Linked DNA regions of Arabidopsis thaliana. The protein of the gene in region 4 interacts with the protein of the main gene of each other region in a pairwise test. Each region holds a gene or a part of one and is shown on either strand. Other genes may lie near its edges.

Region 1 (5,045 bases), on a different chromosome or scaffold from region 4:
TATGTTTGGATGTGGCCTCCCAGTTTGCTCGGTTTCCTACTCATGGTAAATAATCAATCACTTACATTACTTTCACGAACAAATACTATAACTTTAAAACCTTCAACTTTCGTGAAGCATTCAAGAACTCGTTAAAGATGGGAAGAACGGACTTTTGTTTTCATCTTCATCAGAATTAGCAGATCAATTATTGGTAAGTAACTCGTCTTTCTTTTTAAAAGACTATTTCACCAAGTCTACAGCAGAAGACAGCAGTAATGTTCTTGTGTTTTGTCTTTGTGAACAGATTCTCTTCAAGGGTTTTCCAGGGAACTGTGATGCACTAATGTCGCTTAAAGCGGGTGCAATGGAGACTGGTTCTTCGGGTCGATGGGCTACAGAGTGGGAAGATTGTGCAAAACCTTTAATCACTCAGGCAAAATCCGTCGGCCCTCTCTGTATCCCGCACACATACTTTTTTATTGGGCTATTTCTCATAAGATGTCTTTATGTCTGGTCTATGCAGGTCGTGTCTCAAATTGCAGATTCATGAAAGAGAAGACTCAAAATCGATGGGCTTGAGAGTTTCTCACACAACTGCTTTTGTAGATCCAAATTTTTATACAAAATCCTATAGATTACAAGATTGTCTCGAAAATATTGACAGAATCTGAATTCAAAATGGTTTCGCATGAGTCTGTGTATGAATGAGTAAATGATATCAAAATCTTTCTTAACCAAAAGTAAGGCCAAAGAAAAACACTGAAAGGCTCAAAGCAAATTCAACAGTTAATGTAACAATATAAAATAAAAAAAACTGAAGAAACCTGTGAATCCATAAACCAGCTAGCTTTAAACAAAAGACTCTGCCTTCTTCGTGATGTTTAAATCCATTTCCATCTTTTGTTTTTCCCTCGTGTCTGCATACTCGTATGGTCGGATAAAAATCCTTGTAAAACTTAGCAAAGAGACTCACTTTGCCTTCGTCTTAGTTTTCTTGAGGAGGCTGGAAGTTCTGAACTCAGCATCGTCTCTAATGAAGCTCCACCAGAGAATGGTTAAGGGAATTGTGGCAGCGTGCCAGATCGAGTGAGCATCGAAGTAGCCTTCATATGGAGGAAAATCATATATCTCTAGAAGCATGGCTAATCCTCCAGCTATCACAACCACCCAAAGTTTCCAATTAGAAGGGTGGCTTGAGACAGCGGCCCATCTTGCCCATAGGAAAAGCTGTGAGACTCCCATTGCCACACACACAATCATGTTCCAGCCTGTAAACGACATTCAACTGATGAATTCACCAAAAATATTGACTCGATTTTTAGACAACGGAAAGTTATTGAGGGTACCATAGTCGAGTTTGTAGAAGTTTATGTAGAGTATGTGGGTGGTTACAAAAGCTAGTATTGGAGCGGATACCATGACCCTTGCAGCCTCAACCCGAATATCAAATGTTCGTAAAATGGCTAAGATGAGTGAGAATCCGAGAATCGCTACTGCGGATGAGTAGTCCAACCTCTCTGTAAGGTCAACATCCCTGAGAACCACAGAGACGGATTACCAGAAAATCACATATGAATATATGATGCAGATTGTGGATAATAGAGTAATGTGTAGATGATTTACCGGCTGTGGAAAACAGCACTCCAGAACCAAGAGTTCATGGACAGGAGACCGTAGATATGCCACAAACCAACGTATTCATAGTACGCTGTCCTATCTTGTTTCAGAGGCAACTTATAGTAGATCATGATGAAAAAGGAAAGCCAACCATGGAAATGCATTGCTAGGTTGAGTACAGAGAAAGCAACAGAAGCAGGCTCCTGGCAAAGAACAAGGTAAGTCAAAACTCATATTATATGGAAACAACCAGAATAAAAAAAAGCGATTGAAGAAAAAAACTAACCTGAATCCCAAGTACACGCTTGAAGGGCCATTTACCATGGTACTTGACTGGGGCTTGACCGAGAGTTTCCCGTTCAGTCTCTCTATTAACCATACATTGATAACGGCAATCACCTTGACAACCCCATTTTTTCCATTGTAAATACAAAGGTTCTTGGATGTACCATGGACCACCATCGGATGAAGAATTGCACTGAGGAAAGCAAAGTTGTCCAACACAACCGCTTATCTCACATTCTGAAACACATGTCCTGACACAAAATTGCCAGACATTCATAATCTCCACGAATCAAAAATGTTGCTTACATATAAGCTACAACAAAACCAAGTTCACGATAGATACTCAAAGATTACCGAAATTCTAAGATTACCTGTAATCTGGATCAGCATCGCCAGCACTAGCATTTGAAATACAGAAAAGGCATGGCAACAATAGAAACAGGGCTGTCCAGTAGTGGACTGCCATCTGAGCAGAAAGTTGAAGTGAAATCACTGCGTGATAATAACAATGCAAGCCTCAAAAAACAAAGAAAGAAATCGCTTAAAGGAGCTGCAAATGGAAACTATGAATCAGAGACTATAAAAAAAAACTACAAATGTGAAGATCTTCATATGATGCTTCCGTTAAGAATCCTAAAGCAAGTGTTTATTCCAGTGAAAGAAATTCTCACATATCAATAAAAATCCTTCTATAATTCGACCTTGAAAGACTACAGAATCTCTTGGTTAAGGATCGAACTTGATTTCTGTAGAATCTAATACTATGATTTCCAGATTCGATCAGATTATCGAAAACTCAGAACTTAAATCAAATGCAGAGCTTAAACCCCCTCGAGATCTACCAATCAAGCAGGGACAACAACAACAAGATGAGAAATCGATCAGCTATAATGTAGAGAGCAAGAAAATAGAGAAAAAATCGAGCAGATCAGATAGAATCCAATACCTCCCGAGTCTGAGTCTGAGAGTCTGGTCTTCGCAACAATGTTAAAGCTTCAAAGAATATTATCGCACTCCTGTAAATAATGGAGACGACGAAAGAGAAGACCACGTGTCTTATAATTTAAACTAAACGACGTAGTTTTTGCATTATTCTTTTTCTTTCTAGTTTCTACCATTATCTGCTTTACAAAATGTCCCCCAAAAAAGAGTAACAAAACCTTCTTTCGTATTTATCTTATCTCAATAATATAATTGTTACAAGTACTCAGAAGAATGGGAATTTGCAGACATAATATAAGTAAGAGAGGTTTTAGTGCAAGGCAAAAAGAATGACCCTATGGTTTCCTTCCAATGCTTTCTTGGAGCTTTTTTGATAGTTCCTCATAGTGTCTTCTTTGCTGTTTGTTCACAGAAGGTGAGACTAAGGACAATGCTTGCTCGAAATGAGTCATCTTAATCGTACACTGACTTGTATCTGTAATATCGTCATCATCTTCACATGAAATTGTGGTGATCTCCTCCACTGCCTGGAATGTAGCTTTTTGCACCAAGTGAGCGAGATCAGCTCCGCTGAAACCTTCACAATTCATCTTTGCAATGCTATCAAGATCAACACTAGGATCTATGGGCTTCTTCCTTGCAATAGCTTTTAGAATTGAAGCACGTTCATCGGCGTTAGGGAGGGGTACATATAGAAGATTCCCAAACCTACCAGGTCTCAAGAACGCAGGATCAATTACATCTGGCCTGTTTGTAGCTCCAATTACGTATACATTACGCCTCTCTCCACCGTCTAGCTCAACAAGGAACTGGTTTAAAAGCCGTTCAACAACCCAGGCACCTTCTTTGCCACGGCTTGTTGTCAAAGCATCCACCTCATCAAAGAAGATCACACATGGCGAACATGTCCGGGCACGCTGAAACAATGTCCGAATAGCAAGCTCGCTCTCTCCAACGTACTTGTTTAGAAGCTCTGCACCCTTGATGTGCATGAAATTAGCTCCTGCCTCGTTAGCAACTGCCTTTGCAATCAATGTCTTGCCACAACCCGGTGGTCCATAGAGTAAAAATCCAACCTCTAAGTCTACCCCAAAAGCCTAAAAAGAACCAAAGTGGCACATTCAGACCTCGAGAGAAAAAGCAAGTAATCTTGACTATATAACAGTTCTAAGTGACTTATTAGTTACCTTGTAAATATCAGGCTTTTTGATAGGTCTGACTATATAGCGGTTGAATTCAAGTCGTAGATGCTCAAGTCCACCAACATCATCCCACTTGACATCAGGCACGATAGAGAATCCTTCCCTTGTTAAAGATGCCTGAACTAGATTCACTGCTTCCTAGTAGATTACAGAGCAACCAACAGAGTTAGGAACCAAGGATTAAAATCTCGTAGCTATTGAAGTACAGAAAAGTAGACTCATGCCATGCCTACAATTAACATACCTCGAAATCAGACATCTTAACAAAGAGTTTTTCCAACTCTTCTTCTGGCCAGGGATGCCTCAGCCAAGAACTATCATCTTCAGAGTCCCCAGCCAGTTGAGATTTTCTTGAATCCAAGATTCTCTTTGTGGCAATCCTGCCAGCCATGTTAGCAACACCCTCCAAATCTGCTCCAACAAAACCCGGCGTTAAACGAGCTATTCTTTTCTTGTCAAAGGGCCCTTCTAGTCTAAGTTTTTGGGCTACAACAGAAAGTATCTCAGCTCTTGCATCTTCATCTGGAACACCTAGAGCAATCTCACATTCAAATCGTCCACTTCTCCTCAAAGCAGGATCAAGAACATCAGGCCATTTGTAGCTCCAATAACGAGAACAAATCCAACACTAGACTCAGGACCATTGTTACCAGGTCCATCCATACAAGTCAATAATTGCGTTACAATCCGCTTTTCCATCTCCCTTTGCTGATTTTCCCTCTTTGATCCAATCGCATCAATCTCATCGATAAACACAATGGAAGGTGCAGTCCTATACGCTTTAGAGAAAAGCTCTCTAAGATTCTCTTCAGAAGCACCAGAGACACCAGAAACCACATCTGTAGCTGAAATCTTATAAAACGGAACACCAACTTCATTGGCTATAGCATTAGCCAACTTGGTCTTCCCACAGCCAGGTGGTCCATGAAATAGAATCCCACTCGGTGGCTTAACTCCAATCTTCTTAAACGGTTCAGGATTGAGAATCGGGAACAAAACATTCCTCTCCAGTTCATC
Region 2 (5,113 bases), about 17 Mb from region 4:
ACTAGAGTTTAATTGCTTCTCCGCCTTTGATAGAATAATTGCAGAGAATGTAGATAAGAAACTCCACATTTCCTTTCAATATGAGATGGCAATCAAATAATTTTAAAGGACGATAATGATCAAAACCTGAAGAAAATAGCGGCCATCTGTCCATAGAGCTGCCTTATCCTTGGTGACAACAGCGGTACCAGCACTTCCAGTAAATCCTGATATATAAGCCCTCCTGGCATAGCACTCTGCGATGAACTCGCTCTAGTACAAAATATGGAGAAAAATCACACTCAAGCCATGAAAAACTCAGGCAGTTTATGGATACATTTAGAAGTAAAACATAAATTTGTGACTTTCCTAATGGCACAGAAATATATTACAGGCAACATCAGTTATGAAAGTAGATCTTAAGCTCCTAGTATGTAAAATTCACCGAAACAACACATTACCCATATCAAAATGGCAAAAACAATTGCATAGATGCATAACAACCCCCGCACTGGTCCAAATCATATTTATTTTTTATCTTGAATCTCCAAATCGAATTTGGTATACTCAGGGACAGCAAGATTGACGTGTGAGCGGAGCAAGAAACTTTGGGGAGAATGAAATAAAACACGAGTTGGAGAATTTCATACTGTGATTTAGAAGAAGAAGAACTTCCATTTGGCTCTACAATTGAAACATCCTCTTATGACAAGTTGAGATTTGACTAGGAAGAAAAATCTGAATGCATTTTCAACCCAACATATAGAAGATCAGATACCACCAAAGCCGTTTCTTACAATACCATAAAGTAGAAAATTACAAAGACAAAGAGTTTATGCATAACACAACTGACAGATATCATAACAAACATATACGTTTCACAATCACTCAGAGAAATTGTGAGAGGTGATGGTGTTCAACGAGCACTTGTGGTGACTACTCTGCGCTTGTTTCGATGGAATTTTTCCATGAACCACTCGTGTTTGTGTGCAGTAAAGAAGATATGTCCAATAACTAATCCACAAAACACACCAGGTCCGTAGGCTATTGCCGCTGCTATCCAGTTAATCACTTGTTCTTCTGGTTCCGAAAATTCCTCGGATTCTAGTGGTGTAGAACTCGGGGCATGAGCTTTTCCACAGATTTTCTCAAGACCGTAGAGTCTGAGGTTGTCCATGAATGTAGAACAATGTTGGCTTTGAAACTGAGTGCCTAGTGGAACTGGACCTTCGAGAAGGTTATGGGAGAAATTCATGGTCGACAGAAAAGAGAGGCTACCAAGATCTCGAGGGATGTGACCTGATAGCTGATTCCGGGATAGGTCCAATGTCTCAAGATTTGTCAAATTTGCCAATGACTGAGGGATATTGCTTGTGAATGAGTTACCTGACAAATTGAGAAGACGCAATTCCTTCAACAAACCAACGGATTCAGGTATATTCCCAAAAAATCTGTTTCCAGAAAAGTCAATGGCTCTGAAGAAATATGGGATCCGCAAGAAGTCCGTTTCTACTCCTTTATATATCATAGTCATCGAATTACTATGGCTGAACTCGGGCCCTTTCTCGCCCATGTACCAATCCTCTGTACCTATATTAGAGCCGTTTTCTTCTAAGACAGATGTCACCATCTCACGCCAATTGGAGAAATATAAAGGTGACAAAGTTCCACTGAAGCCATTCTGTGATATATCAATGAGTCTCAAATGTTGAAACCCAAAAGATATGTGGTCATAATATAACGACCCATAGAATGCATTAGATCTGAGGATGAGGACACGTAATGATGGCAAAGAAACCAACCAGGATGGAAAAGTGTCCTTGATTATGTTGCTTCCCACATTCAGAAGTTCCATACCAGTGCAATTGATCAGGGATTTTGGAAGTTTTCCCTCCAACCGGTTGTAGCTAACGTCAAGTGATAATAACATGCTAGCATTGACAAATACGTCTGGGAGAAATCCGCTGAAGCTGTTGTTACGCAGAACTAGCCCTTTAAGCCAATAAGTGGAATTTTTCAAACAAGGAGGAATTGAGCCGTTGAAGAGATTGTTGGACAAGTCTAAGTACTTTAAGAACCTTTGCTTGCAGATCCAATGGGGAAAAGGTCCTCCAAGTGAATTCGAACCAAGATCCAACTCCTGCATTGATTCTCCATCCAAAGCTCCGGATGATGACTTTCCAAAACTGTTGAAAGAATTGTGGGAAAGTGTCACTGTCATCAATCCCCATAAGCAACCTGGCACTTCGCCTTCCAAGGTATTGTTTGAAAGACTAAGATGCTGAAGGTTGACCAACTTTGATATAGAAGTGGGGATTGGCCCAACTAAGTTGTTGTGGCTAAGATCTAGTACTATGAGACTGTGAATTTCAGATATATATTCAGGGATTGGCCCATCGAATTTGTTATCAGCAAGGTTTAGATCCCAAAGCCTAGAAGATGAAGATATATTCCCAAACTTTATAGGTCCCATGAACTGGTTTCCTTCCAAATAAACAATTTGTAACGAAGGAATCGTGAATAAGGATGTAGGAAAAGTCCCGACAAATGAATTCTCACGCACATCAAAATATTTCAAGTTGTGGAGTCCACTCATATCAGATGGAAGCGTGGATTTAAAGTGATTAGAGGCAACGTTTAAGGAGGACAAGCTGGTTAAATTTGGTAGTATGAAAGAGAAATTTTCCAATGTGAACTGATTGCTAGAGATGTCTAAACTAGAAAGCTTCGTTAAATTGGTAAATGAAGTAGGAATGTTACCACTAAAACTGTTTTCGGAAAGTAAAAGGTCTCTAAGTTGGTTTAGCTTACTGACCGAAGCCAGAACTTCACCTGTCAGCTGATTACTCGAAAGGTCAAGATGCGTGAGACGAGAAAGGTTTCCTAGTGAAGAAGTAACCTCTCCATAGAGATGGCAATCACTGAGAGTCAGGTTCTGGAGTTGTTGGAGTTTGAAAAGACCACTAGTTGGTTTCAAAGAGTTGTTGAGAAGGACATAACTAAGGTCAAGTGAAACCACCTCGCCAGATTCATCATCGCACGTGACACCCTCCCAAAAACAGCAATCACTAGTCTTGTTCCATGAACTCAACGATGGACTTGGCTTCGATTCACTTACCGGAAACTCGTGTTTGAACTCGAGAAGAGCATCCCTTTGGTCATGGCGGCAATAGTGAAGCCTAGAAGAAGCAAGAGTGCGTAGAACAAGGGAACCCAGGAGGAAGAAATACAAGGTAATAACACTACCAGAAAAGGAATTAGATTGGCTTGGAATCATTTTGTTTGTTTTGTAAGTAACAGGTTATGATAGCTATGGCTTCTACGTCTCTATTTAGAGAGAGAGAAAAATAGAAAACAAAACACAAATTTGCAGCTCTCTAGTAGACTTCTACCTACTCCTTTCTATAGTCAAACTTGCCCACTTGGACCAATAATTGACTTAAAAACACACACAATTGAACAGTTTTGAATCTACTAGAACTTCCTATTCAATTCGTAATCACGAGTTAAGAAGAGGTTTAAAAAAAGAGAACCTGATGTGCATCTTGTGAAGGTATGATATAAGCGTCGATTCCAACACCCGGCTCCGAAAACAGTCGCCGGATCGAGCTAAGCTTCTCGTCGACAACTACTTTGGTTTGAGCTTTACGAATCTCTTTGGAAGACTTTGCCGTGAAGGAGGAAGAGCTGCTGCTGCTGCTACTAGCATGACACCTTGCGCCAAAAAGAGGTTTATACGGTAATTTCCGGTGGATCAGAGAGAGCGAATTGAAATTGCTGAGAAATAGAGAGTGTGAGTAACGTGATGTGGATAAAACGAGCCGATTCAGAGACGGCGACGAAAGAGTTAGAGGAATCATCACCAGCGATTGCAGGAGAATCACACAAGAGGAGAAGCTTCTTGAGCAGAGTGATTACGGATAAATGTGTATAACTACTGAAAATTGCAAAACAACCCCCGTATTCTTTTAAATGTTGTATAATGTGCATGACTATTGATAATTACATTAAAATCCCAGACTTGTCAAAAAGAAACATTTTATTTTGAAACAATCTCATCAAATTCGTTATGGTAAAGGACAGCCAAGAGAGACGTGTGCAAGAAGCAAGAGTCTTTGGGTGCGTAAGAAATGTAAACGTGTTCGAGACTTTCATGCTGAGAATTTCGATTGGAATTTTGGTTTGACTTAGAAAGTTTTATGAGAAAGACTTAATACCGCCTGAATTAAGGGTTTCCACGAAAGAGACAAACGATAAATTGCAACCACACCAGAAAAGAGAAAAATAGATACTAATATTCTTTATATTGATAACCATGGGGTTTAGAATTCAAAACATATTTTGAGATATGAGTAGAAGAAGTTTCTGAATGCATTATCGAGCCAAGATTTATTACAAAACCTTGCAACAATGTGGTTTGGGACAAGAAGCTGACCATGATTTTAACCTGATAGTAAAACGGGCCTTGTCTCTTGACAGCTGAAAGTCTGAAACAAGATCATAATATTTCTCAAGCGCTGAACTAACACAAGTAAGGGAATGGAAGTGAATACTTGTTCTGAAGCAACTGGCATGAAAATGTACCTCTCAAGTATCTGGTTTTTTCTAATCTCCTTCCGTGAAAAGAAAGATTCTTAGGGTACCAAGGCAAAGGCTTGATTGCCTCCAATTCACCACTCTCTATGGCCTTAAGTATGCTTCTTATGTCTATCATCAATGAGACACTAGAAAAATGAAAGAGTCATGAATCAACCTCAGCCCGAAGAGATTTCATGAAATCATTCTCCAATTTCAATCAAATCCCATCACAAAATTGACCACTGAAGAATCAAAAACAGAGGCCACTTAGTCAAAAAAAACTCTGAAACTCCATAAACGAATCCCACTCTTCAGCTTTCACTATCCTTTGTTCCTTACACAACTTCACAACAAGACATTACAATGGTGTTTATTAGAAGTAAAGTTTCAAAATCCATGGAAGCCATTGATTCTATTGAGGTACCTTGTAATACTCCTCGAGTCCTCATCCTCGAAATGAAGATTTGAGCAGATGGGCTTTTGGAGGTTGGAATCAAAGGAAGCATCGGATTTGAGGGGGTTTTCGAACATTCTCTTGGCTATTTAGAGTTGATTT
Region 3 (7,395 bases), on a different chromosome or scaffold from region 4:
TCAAGCCGATAAAGACACGACTCGCTCTATAGCCCTGCCTCCTCTGCTACACACATTTACATATACGACATGTGTCACCACATCAAAATCACCATTGTTGGATTGGAGCTGTTCCTCTGTTATGATTTGAGCTGTAGATATAGACAGAGATATATTGATCATCTATATATAGAAAGAGAGGGAGATGAAGAAGAGTAAAAAAAGGGGATGGGGAAGGGATTGATATATGGTAGAGTGAAAAACCGCCATTTATTTTTAATTTGGACGTTTAATACCTCTAGTATTTAATTTGGAAGAAAAATACCTTAATTAATTTTGGTTACCTATCAAAAAGTTGGTATAATCGTACCTCCGAGTTAACTTCCGTCAACTACCCTAACGGAAACATATTCGTATAATCAAGAAAAGCGATTGTACTTATTTACATAATTAACATGAGTTAAGTTTTAACCACAGTTAACAATTCCGTTAGGGTAGTTAACGGAAGTTAACTCGAAGGTAAGATTATACCAACTTTTTAAAAAACGAAAGTTTTAATAAGTAACCAAAATTAACTAAGGTGTTTTTCTTCCAAATTAAATAGTAGAGGTATTAAACGGGAAAATTAAAAGTAAATGATGGTTTTTTAGGTTTTCTCCCTTTACAGATATATTATATTTTGATTCATTAAACTTGTCTTAAAGGTTTATTTTGTGGTAGCTCTTCTTGTTCTGTACATTCAGTTGAATAAAAATCATCCCCTTACTATTTTATTTCATCTCTCATTCAATCAAATATATGTTATGGCCTCTTCAACTGCAACTGTTGTGAGAAAAAAAGTTGCTGAAAATTGGAAATTCGGATGCAAACTGCTAAAACATGTGCCTTCAAAAATTAAACAGAGAAGATCTGATTCCACATATTTTTGGTTGCACAAAGTTGTATAGGCCGAGTATATGATTACAGGAGAAAAAATCAAACTTGTTTTGTGATACATTACATGAAAAAAATAGTAAAAAGAAACAATGCTAATTACAAGGGAAACAAATGGGTTGTGGACTTGTGGGTTAGTTACTCCCAGGAAACAAACAATGTTAGTGTTAAAATCTTTTTCTCTTCTTTTCCACATTTTTCTTTTGTCAAAATTGATTGAGTGTACCAAACTTTAGTTGAGAAGAACATTTTGTGGTTTTAGGAGCTGTGGGATTGACGTGACATTAGAATCATCCGTTGTTTCCCACTTTCTGATCTTACAATTTCTCCTTTCTGACCAAAACAAAAGATTTCTTTATTTAGTTATGTTCTATAAACGAAGAAAGAATCAACCAAAAATCAAACCAACTTACCTCTATAGTACTGTCTGGAGAAAACCATTTCAACAATATCCCAAGATGTACAACTGCTGGTATCATTTTGAAAACCAGCGGTGTCGTAACCTGCCCAAACCAAAACCACCTCAGCTACTTACTTGAACTTGAACACAGAACATATAAAGAGGAGGTAACAGAAAGTTATCTGATCATACCAGGCTTAGAGCGGTTGTCCCAAGGAGAAGCAGATAGAGTTTCCCCTGACAATTTTCATAACTTTAAGCTTCTTTCTTCAAAATACCTTATATATTCTTAAATCCTACTTATGTGTATGGTCCATTGAGGACCAAGTTGTGTTACTTACTTCGATGAGGTGAAGATTGGAGGCACGGCTAAGTAGTACAAAGGCAAACTCCCCTATCTGAGCCAGAGATATTCCAACCTGCATCAATTTGACTAAGGATGGTGAAGCAAGAAAGCAAACATGATAGATCATATAAGTAATTTGAGTCAGAATATGTTACCAGAAGAGCCGTCTTATTGTTGTATCCAAATCCCTTAACAACGGTTGTAACTATTGTTGTCTTTATAATAATAACTAATATCACAGAGGCTAACAGTATATCCACATGTGTCCACAGAAAATGGACATTAACTAACATCCCAATGCTGGCTAGGAAAAGAGCAGCAAATAAATTACGGATGGGTTCGATCTGCACAAAAAAATATGAAAGCATCTCTGTCAGACTATGGACTCTTTTAAGGGTTTAAGATCAATTAACATAACGGGAGAAACAGTAAAGCCTTTTTGATAAAATGTGGTCAAAACGTACTTGCTCCAATGTATGTTCAGCGAGATCAGTAGTGGATATCATGACCCCCGCAGCAAAAGAACCCAATTCAAGACTTAATCCCAGCTTATCACTACACTGAAAGCATAAAAGACTAGTCAAACAAACATGTTGACCAAAAAACTTAATCCCACCTTATCACTAGAGTTCCCAAATACACACCAGGACCAAATAAGAGAAGGAACGCACATATGAGAATCTTCATGAACGCATTACATATGATGGATACTACAAGGAAGAATATGAGGAAGATGATGGCTAAGTAGGACTCACCCAGGCTACAAGTAGACAAAACGCAACAGCCGCTAACTGATAGAGTTCATTTGTCTGATATGAAGAAATTTTTTAGGTTAATCTACAAACTCGATTTCATTAGATCAGATGATAGGGAAAATAATATTGAGAGGAAACTCATGTACCTGTGACGATAAGCTGACCATTAGCTTCAGCAACCAAGGAATACATGTCCGTGATAATATTGACAAAACAGCCAAAAACGAAAGCAACAAAACCACCCTAAATAAAAGACAGTAAAAGCATGATTAACATCAAATCTTCAGAATACGCCTTAGGAGCAAAAAGTCTACCAGTCTTTCCATACACTTTTCCTATTGACAACATTCCATGAACAATGCCAGAATTTCCCTCGAGAACTGGAAGCAAAGCAAACAGCAAACCCACAGCACAGTCCTACAAACAGATGCTAAAATCAATCCTCCAAATCATTTGAAAAGGAATTCAAGAATAAACACTATATGATCTACAAAGACAATGGACATTACATGTAGATGAGAACAATCAGATACCTGAAGAATTAGGATTCCAATCGTAACTTGGCCATGAAGAGAATTAGTTGAATTCTTTTCCATGAGAAACTTCAGCACCTATAGATTCAAGGCAGGAACGCATGATGAACATAAAACCAACAATATTAAAAAGAAAGCCCGCTAATGGAAATGGTTAGATAAGCATTATAGAGTTCACTGAAATTACCACCGCAGTTGATGACATTGACAAAAAGGCTCCTACAAATACCCCCTCCGAACGTTTACCACCGCATAACTGCAAACAGGACCAGTTGAAAACATGTCACAGAGAGTATATCTGCAGAAGATTTTAGGGTCTGTATTTCTAACTTTCAAATACACAACACTTTAAGCTACATAAACCAAATGTCTCTCAAAGAATAAAAGAGACAGCAGGACTCATTTTTCTACGATTCAAACAGAAAGCATAACTTTTTTTCCAGAACCACTGATAAAAAAAAGTGACGCACCGACACTGTGATACCGCACAAGAACATGAATAGAAGAATTTGAAGAAGGCCTCCCAGAACAGCAACTGATCGAACAACTTTAAGCTACATAGTAAGAGGAAAGGAGCTCAAGAGTTTGTTATGTTAACAATTTAATTCAACACTATACAAATCAAAGCGGTTGATCTCACCTTAGCAGTGGAGAACTCTAGACCCAAAGCAAAGAGCAGAAATACCACACCAAACTGGGCAACTGTTTCAACCTAAATGTAGAATCATGTCAAAATTAAAGCGCAAAAGCAACGTGTAAGATGACATATATGTAAAACCACATGAGCATTATACATTCTCATCTCCGTGGCAGTCTAAGCTCTAGATTTCCTATTCGAAGACGAACTAAGGTCTCTCTTATGCATGATAAAAACTCAATTTGTTTTGACCCACAGAAGAAAAGAGTTTCTAGTCAAAGACTCATGTCTTGCTATGTGTAATATCTTAGTCAACGATCCTCAGAAGAAAATAGTTCCTAACCTGCTGATCTAAATAAGTATTCGAGACCTTAAAGGAATTTCTCAACTAAAGGTATTGGGAGTGGACGAAAGACTTAAATCTTTTGAGGTCAAACACATAGCATACCTGGACCATCTCACTGATGAAGTTCAATCCTCCAGGCCCAATGATAGATCCTGCTAGCAAATATCCAGTTATCACCTACATAAGCACAGAATGAGTCATAGCTATCAGAAAACAAATGCATCATACTGAAACATAAAGTCATATTGATAGAGAATAAGAGTAGCACGAAAATCAGACCGGCTGTCCAGCACAAGCAAAGGCGATACCACCACAAGTTGCAGATACAATGACAACCACCAGGTCTGATATCAGTCTACATGCCATAAGAAGCAGAAATCAGATGACTGATTGAAAATTATAGTCTTTTTTTCAAGAATCATGTTTAAGACCAAGAATCTTGCCTCAAGTCTAGCTGCAATACTGGATACTTTGATTTGGAATTGGATATGATGAAGACATTGTCCTGACACAAGGCCAAAACTTCCATGTAAGAAGTAATGCAACAAATCCAAACTCAGTCTTCCTGTGTAAAAACTTACTTTTCGATCAATGAGAGTTGGAGTGTCCTCAGCTCTGTTATCATTGTTCAAGTTGAAAACATCATGGAGTTGAAAACGCCTATGGAAAATTAGATAACGCTTAATACGTCTTCAATTCCAGAACATCAAAGAAGGTCATACAAAGGAAGATTTAGAAATATAAACGATAACTATAATAGAATGGTGTACTTCTCCTCTTTTGTCTCATTTTTCTTGGTCGACTTTACTCGGGCTACAGTTTCCAGAACAGCCTGATCACCACAAGGTACAACAACCAACCTCACATTCAGATACTCAAACTATGCAATTAATGAGAGAAATGATCAAATCTTAAAGCAAGCCTTATACTTTCAAACAAAAGACTTGGGAGTGATTTTGACACTGCTTGAATTTCCTAGAAATTGTCCAACTTTGAATAATAAACAGAAGCAAGTATATACTAATGATTAAAAGTTAAAACAAACCTGTTGTCCAGCTACACTGTTATTGAAGCTTCCAGGATCAGCCACTGCCACAAATATAACAACATTGGGAGATAATATATCGAGTAAAAGTGTAAGAATACAAGATAAACACTCACTATCCATTTCAGGAAAACCAATCACAAAAATGTATCTTGTTTGTGTAAATATTCTCGATCTAGAAGAAGCAAACTATTCCACATTGGGAGATCCCCAAAAAGGAAAGACGAATGTGGGATCAATCTAAAGTTCCGAACTTTCAATTGGATCACGGATCCAATTCAGGATCTACCTAATGAATTCTAGTTGTTCAATGGCCATTTCAAGCTCCATAAAGTAGCAAAAAACACTAACCTTCATTCTGGTCGCTTTCATTGAACTCTTTTTCAAGAGCACGATCGATGATGTCGGCGAAGCTACCTTCCTTAGGCTTAACAAGAGAAGAAGAAGAAGAAGCGTTGAGAGATGCGACGGAAGAGGAGGAGTTGGCGACTGTTTCATCCAGTAGATCCGAATCAGATATAGCTCGAGGAGACGCGACGGAGAAGCAGAGGAAGAAGGAGAGTAAAAGTAAGAGGAGAGCTAGCTGTTGAGAGGAGAGCGAGAATCTTCTTCTTCTTCTTCCTTCCACCATGGCAGAACAACTGGTTCTGGATTAAACCGGACTGGAGCAACGGTCTAGCAGAAGAACCGGAACCGTCGCGAGTCTCTCGATCGAGGACGAGGAGTGGGCAAGTGGGGAGAGAGGGAAAGTGAGATTGTTGCAATGGTCAACAAACAGTCCATACATAGGCTCTCTACATATAACAAGACTATACTGTACAATTTACGACATATCTGTATTAAAATTAATTATCGGATTTTTTTCTTTTTAATGTTGTGTTGTTTCTTTGTAATATACAGCAACTGCACCATGTCCATGTGGTAGATTAATGAATGGAATGGGTCTTTCTTGGTTATTTGATTTTCGATTAGGACAAAACATCTTCCATTTCTATAAAACTTTAGCTCAATGTCTACGCCATACTTATTATTACTCAATGCGACTCTTTTTCATGTAATCATTTAAATCCAATAAAAATAGATTTCACTGTATTTATAATTCTGTGAAATTTGTAAACGTGTTTTTTTAGTTCATGGTCCCCAAAAATTATCCAAAAAATCGCTGTCAATTAAAAAATTAAAAACAAAAAAAAAGAAAAATTATATTATATATATATATATATATATTCCCCTCACGACAAAAAAATATATATATTCGCTTCTGTTTTTTTCTTCTCGGACAATTCGTCTTTTGACAACAATGGCGGACAAATCAAGCAGATCACTGATATTGTACGGAGACGGCTTGGCTCGATTTGTCGATCCGTCAAATACCAACATCCATTCTCTTGCTTCCGTCGCTACTTGTGGCTTCTTGAGCCTTCCTAATGCACCTCCAGGTCTCTCTTTCTCTCTCCCTCGCTATCTCTTCATAAATTTGGTTACTTTCGTTTGATTCGTCTTGAATTTCAGTCAAAATCGCTACTTTAAGGGTTTTCACTTGTTAGGATTTCTTAGTGTTGATCAGAATTGAACCATATCGTTTGGATTCGATTGTGACTTTTTTAATAGTCCAATATGAAACTCCAGTATACAATTGATCTAACTGGCCAACTTAGAGTTCTTGTTCAGTGTCAATTGACCCAATTGCTTAAGAAACAAAGATTTGAGATCACTTGTGTTACATTGCCCTTGCTTTGACATTTTGCTATTGATCTAACTCACTCTGCTGTTTCAATATTGCAGAAACTGAGAATGAAAGAATAGTTCGAGAATTCTCCCACTTGCTGGATGCATCCGAAGCTTATTCCATAGCTGTGAGATACTTTACTCTCTACTATATTAATTTCTATGTGAGCCGAGTTTTGTGGCAAAATATTTAACAATCTCAGTGTGTTTACATAGTTATTCACGAATTAGAGATTAACGAACCATGATCTGATTTCTTAATAGAGTGGACTAAAACCAAAGGGAAATGGAAATGATATCTCAACTTTGGCTGAAAGGTTATACTTTTCACTTATCTCTATAGTTTTATACTCTCTTTGATAATCAATAGCTGGTATATCCATATGTTGATGCTAGTATTTACTTTAATGCCAGGTTTATGGGACTCAAAGCTGCTTTAGTTACGGACAGTTCTACTCTGACTTCTTTCGGAAAACTGATTGGCTTAGATGTATTACAGCTTAGTGAAATATGCCAAGAGAGTGATTCCTTTCCTTCTGATGCCACATCATCTAAACTACTAAAGCTGCTTGGATTTGAAGGAGGAAAGTGCTTGGATGTGAACCTATATGACTTGGTTTTTGTTCATTTCGGGGTTGATGAATATAATAACGGGAACAACATGGGAATTCTCGACTCTTTGATTGGCAGTAT
Region 4 (4,582 bases):
GAATTAAATTACCTGAGACTAAAATGATGGAGCAGTTTAGGGCAATTAGGGCTCGGAGACGATGAAAAAATCCTCGAAGATAAACTTTTTCTTTAGTGGCGCAATAAGATTTGTTCACTTTATGCAATTCCACCATCCAACACGAAAGATCCACGCATACCCTTTTGTTTCTACAGCGATTACGAAGATCTCGTAAAGACTTGGTCTTTTTAAACACCCAGAAAAATTAAAGAGAAATTGAGACGAAGAAACAACTCACTGAAGATGATCGAGTGGGAAAGTCTTCTTACAAGGCTCCAAGACATCCCAAAGATACTTCACTCCCATAGCTTCACCTTCGAGATCGAGCGAGAGAGAGAGACAGAGACAGAAAGAGGGAAGAAAATGATTTGACAAGATATTTGAATTTTGAAAATTTGGTTCAATAATAATTCGAAACCGGTCGGTTTGAAGGTTCCAAACCGAAACCAAAATTATTGCAAATTCTTCACTTCGGTTCGGCAACAGACCTACCATCAAATGTAAGTTGGTGCTTCGATTTTAGGAATTGAACCATCTTCAATTACCAGGCACATAGCAGGATGTCAAATATGAACTAAGCATAAACAACAAGTGAACAAACCCTGAATTATAGAACTGTTTATCGATTAATACTGTAGAAATAATGTATTTTGAAGCTTCCATAACCAGAATTAGATGTCATTATACAAGATCCAAAAAGTACACACAAGGTCACCATTTTTATTGAGCTATATACGACTCATACTTAAACCCTGAAAAATCTCACTAATTTCTCAAGAGAAACTGTGCCTCTCATTACATTGACTTTACTCCTTTGCAGCATCATCATCATCAGTTGCAACATCTTTCTTCTCCGTGGTTTCCGCGATTTTCTCGCCTGTGCTTCTAGAAGTTTCATCATGGGTAATTGCTGAAGCTTCTTCTCCAGTGTTTGTAGAAAGACCTTCCGCAGAGGCAGTCTTTGCTTCGGAAGGTTCTGAACTTTCTTTGCCTTCTCCATCCTTCTTTTGAATGGTTCCGACTTTGACATACTTGCTCATGAACTTGTACTCCCAGTCTTGTAACGCCTCTAGCTCAAATGCACCGAGACCTGAGATGTCTCCAGTCAAGTCTTGGTCCTCAAATGACATCTTTGCCAGAGCTCGGCTTGCATCTTTCCCTGCAAACAGAGCATATGGCCCACCTGGTCCATAAAACATCCTGCATAAAAAGAACAGATGGTCATGCAAATTAGCGACCAGTAAGAGTTAAGTAGAGTTTGAAGAATGAAAAACTACAGCTTGGCACATATGAATATGATTCATCTAGATATGTAGTACAGCTGATGAACTATGTACAAGAAAAAAACTAAAAGTTATGCATACATATACATCGACATGTATATGCGTTGATGAGTGTGTCTGTGTCTGTCGCCACTATGAACAAGCAAAACGGTATGATCACTGAAGTGATTATTTCATCTAGCACAAAACCTAATTACCACAACGAAGTTTTCGGTAACTGGAATGTAAAAGAACTGTCTAGTTGACAAGTCAGGGATCTAGACAACTGCAGCATGGTTACATACCAACAATGTTCGCCAAAACTTAATTTACAAACGTCATGGAACACAAATAGCAAGCAAATGTGGATAATTAATCAGTGAACGATCTCTTTCGCCACAATAGCAATATTAGAAGCCAAACCTTTGACGAGTTTGTACGTTATCAATCTCTACTAATCCAAGATGTAATCTAAATACAGGTTTTTCTAGTATAAGAAAAAGTAGAGATCTTTCCGATAACTTGAATACAATACAATTGTATCAGTGCTTCTAATGGTATTGTTCCAAGAAAAGAAGTGAAAAAACAAACACTAAGATGCAAAAAGCAATAAAAAGAGCATCATAAGATTATGAACAAAAAGGAGAGAATATTCATCAAAAAGATTTACTAAAAGTGTTCAGTTTTACAATAAAGAATCACTTAAACTAGAGTTCGAGCATCAGTAGATATACTAGAATCATAAGATAGATAGTAATTGGAAACTTCGGATTATAAATCAAACAGTCAACCATGATTAACTAACCTAAACCCCAAATCTCGAAACTATTGGGTTGAATCGTTTATTACTGGTAATTTAACTAGTGATCATTTGGATTCAATCATAATTTAATGAACAAGTAAAGATTTCACAAGAAATACCTGCTCTGAGAAACATCATAGATCTGGCCCTTGATCGCCATAAGAAGGGGCTTTTTAGAATCGGAGCCATCATAAAGCTTAAGCTCCTCCTCAGTGATTTCTCCGAGCTGAACCGGCGGTGGAAGAGGCTCCGATTGAGGCTGAACCTCCAAAGAACGAGGTCGGTGAACTTCAGGAGAAACGAAGAAACCGGAGACGACTTGGTAAACGGCGAAAGCGAGAGCAAGTACGGTGAAAAACGCAGCTGGAGAAAGTCCAGTGTAAGCTGTGATTGTTTCCTTCAACGTCTCCCATATTTGCTGAACCATGATTTGAGAAGCTATCGAGAAGCGAAAGAGAATGAGAGAGAAGAGTAACGTTTTGTGTTTTAATTTTCAGATTTATTTGCGATCGAATTAAAACATATATATAATATCTTCAATTTTTGGTATAAAATAAAATAAAATGGTCAAATTACGCAACAAGAATTTTAAACGATTTTGTTTAACAGTCGTCGTCCATAATGACCGTTGATGTCTGAAAAATATTTTCTTTTTGTTCGTGTGAAACATACATAGAAATTTTCTAAACGTTTTTAAGAATATATATCGTTACCTAACTAGTGGTGGCTGAGCTCGATAAAACGGTGTCGTTAATGCCGCCGGAGAAGACTGGTAGGTAAGAACTAAGAAGAATAAGATATAGACCAAAAAAAAAAGGTAGATGATTTGCAAAACAAATGTGACTAATAATGCTAATATCAAGACAAATAATTGTAACAATATTGTTTTATTTTCCTATTTGGTGTGCAAGGTTGGTGGTGATCAAAAGTTGATCACTACAGACATTCATTGGCATAGCCTACAGATATATACACATAATACGATTCAAATCAAAACAAACAACACAAAGAAATAAACAATTCAACAGTCAAAGATGAGAACAATAACAAGTTAAGTCCTTCACAGAGAATGATCACAGCAGAAACATCAAAGATGAAGAGAACTCACTTCATCAACCTTCCAGTCTCCTTCCTCATACTTGTACCATCTCACAATCCCTTCATCGTTTTCAGTCCTCTGACACATCACACACGTCTTGTGATCCATGCAAGTCAAGAATTTCTTTAGCCTTGCTGTTTTCTCCATTATCGTCTTATCGAGCTCTCTAACAATCACCTTCTGCTGAGGCTGCCAACCGCTGTACTCCACTAGGTGAGAGTGTGATATGTTGAGCACTTCAAGGCTTGGTAATCCGTCAAGGATTTTCATCAGTGCTTCCCGCTTTATCGCCGAGCATCTGATGCTGAGTGTTTTGATGTTTGGGAGGCAAGTGATGAGCGTGTTTGCAAAGAAGACCTCGAATGGACCCATGATCTTCAGCTCTTTAAAATTCTTGCAGTTCTTGGCAATTTCTGTTAAGAGATAAGGCGGGTTTGCGATGCTTGGCATTGTTAGTGACTCTAGATCTTTCCAGATTCTTATCGCTTTGCATATACCAGTCTTCTTTATTCTGTTCCAAGCCGGTAGGACGACCCGTCTCAACCCTGGACACCTGCAAAATATTCAGTACAACAAATTTTTCAACTTTTAGCATTTGCGAGATTCAGCTTAATTGTAATTCAGCAATTTTGACTGAAAGTGGGTACATGAACTTAACCAAACCAAAAACTGAACCAACTTTTGACTAAAAAACCATAGTTTACGGCCATGATGAAACAATTTGGAAGACAAATAAGTGGAAGAACGAAAAGGACATACCTTTCTGCGGTGTAAGTAAGCTGATCATCACTCAAGAACAAGTTGAAATGAAAAATCAAGGTCCTCGTGCTTCCTCCGCTAAGGTTCATGGAGAGTTTCAGGATGCGGGTTAGGGCCTCATCAGATCGGCGTTCCACATAGACATAAGGCTCTAATGGGATCTTGATGAAACTAGATCTCATGTTTGACAAATCCACCGTCTTCCAAAGAATCGGATCGCAACAAGCAGCTCTCCATCCTCTACAAACATGAGCTAATCCCGAAGTCAACTCAAAGACGCTAAACTTCTGGAAAATTCTTACTAAGATGTCAGTGTCCAACTCTTCCCATCTCCTCAATCGACGACTCTCATACTCTTCTTCCATTCTTGTTGTACCCTAAACAAGCATAAGAACGTTAATCAACTGTTGTTATCCACAAGAGCTTATAGAAATAGGAAAGAGCACAACTTTAAGAAGTAGGAAAAGAAACACACATCAGTTCTCTTATTCTCTCATAAATATGAAATTCTAATCAATCAATCCTCCCTGAATCCCTCAATTTCCATGATTCCATTTCCATCACAGGATTGATTGATTGCATCAATCAATGAGTTATTACTGCTATAAGTGAAATGAACTACAGAACCCAACTATGATA

What was found.
Region 1: the proteins of MAPR3 (region 4) and AT1G16560 interact in a protein complementation assay, tested with the Arabidopsis thaliana proteins (one large-scale study listed by BioGRID).
Region 2: the proteins of MAPR3 (region 4) and RLP30 interact in a protein complementation assay, tested with the Arabidopsis thaliana proteins (one large-scale study listed by BioGRID).
Region 3: the proteins of MAPR3 (region 4) and KEA6 interact in a protein complementation assay, tested with the Arabidopsis thaliana proteins (one large-scale study listed by BioGRID).

What each region holds. Positions count from the first base shown.
Region 1 is NC_003070.9:5,666,250-5,671,294, reverse strand, and holds AT1G16560 (Per1-like family protein), read right to left. Parts: upstream 2,912-5,045; 5' UTR 2,831-2,911; exon of another isoform or gene 2,377-2,830; 5' UTR 2,351-2,376; coding exon 2,256-2,350; intron 2,136-2,255; coding exon 1,886-2,135; coding exon of another isoform or gene 1,882-1,885; intron 1,803-1,881; coding exon 1,606-1,802; intron 1,517-1,605; coding exon 1,329-1,516; intron 1,251-1,328; coding exon 952-1,250; 3' UTR 587-951; downstream 1-586. Other genes in the region: AT1G16570 (UDP-Glycosyltransferase superfamily protein), read left to right, coding at 1-45, 118-415, 506-532.
Region 2 is NC_003074.8:1,530,005-1,535,117, forward strand, and holds RLP30 (receptor like protein 30), read right to left. Parts: upstream 3,358-5,113; 5' UTR 3,257-3,357; coding exon 896-3,256; 3' UTR 664-895; downstream 1-663. Other genes in the region: AT3G05350 (Metallopeptidase M24 family protein), read right to left, coding at 1-24, 127-252, 3,513-3,839; AT3G05365 (uncharacterized protein), read right to left, coding at 4,372-4,466, 4,564-4,703, 4,982-5,088. UniProt on the Arabidopsis thaliana protein: Receptor for microbe-associated molecular patterns (MAMPs) that induces a BAK1-dependent basal immune response to necrotrophic fungi (e.g.
Region 3 is NC_003076.8:3,802,465-3,809,859, forward strand, and holds KEA6 (K+ efflux antiporter 6), read right to left. Parts: upstream 5,810-7,395; 5' UTR 5,606-5,809; coding exon 5,326-5,605; intron 5,019-5,325; coding exon 4,975-5,018; intron 4,762-4,974; coding exon 4,700-4,761; intron 4,590-4,699; coding exon 4,511-4,589; intron 4,435-4,510; coding exon 4,373-4,434; intron 4,285-4,372; coding exon 4,209-4,284; intron 4,107-4,208; coding exon 4,032-4,106; intron 3,659-4,031; coding exon 3,587-3,658; intron 3,501-3,586; coding exon 3,417-3,500; intron 3,203-3,416; coding exon 3,134-3,202; intron 3,025-3,133; coding exon 2,947-3,024; intron 2,831-2,946; coding exon 2,742-2,830; intron 2,657-2,741; coding exon 2,560-2,656; intron 2,468-2,559; coding exon 2,414-2,467; intron 2,219-2,413; coding exon 2,123-2,218; intron 2,003-2,122; coding exon 1,814-2,002; intron 1,732-1,813; coding exon 1,654-1,731; intron 1,550-1,653; coding exon 1,505-1,549; intron 1,416-1,504; coding exon 1,326-1,415; intron 1,246-1,325; and 3 more. Other genes in the region: NDL2 (N-MYC downregulated-like 2), read left to right, coding at 1-32; AT5G11810 (rhomboid family protein), read left to right, coding at 6,275-6,413, 6,760-6,830, 6,967-7,019, 7,117-7,395. UniProt on the Arabidopsis thaliana protein: Electroneutral K(+)/H(+) efflux antiporter involved in K(+) homeostasis and osmotic adjustment. Together with KEA4 and KEA5, promotes growth and development, and facilitates endosomal pH and ions homeostasis, as well as salt tolerance (e.g.
Region 4 is NC_003074.8:18,127,599-18,132,180, reverse strand, and holds MAPR3 (membrane-associated progesterone binding protein 3), read right to left. Parts: upstream 2,730-4,582; 5' UTR 2,513-2,729; coding exon 2,205-2,512; intron 1,222-2,204; coding exon 828-1,221; 3' UTR 589-827; downstream 1-588. Other genes in the region: AT3G48900 (single-stranded DNA endonuclease family protein), read right to left, coding at 13-170, 260-327; AT3G48880 (RNI-like superfamily protein), read right to left, coding at 3,173-3,737, 3,944-4,308.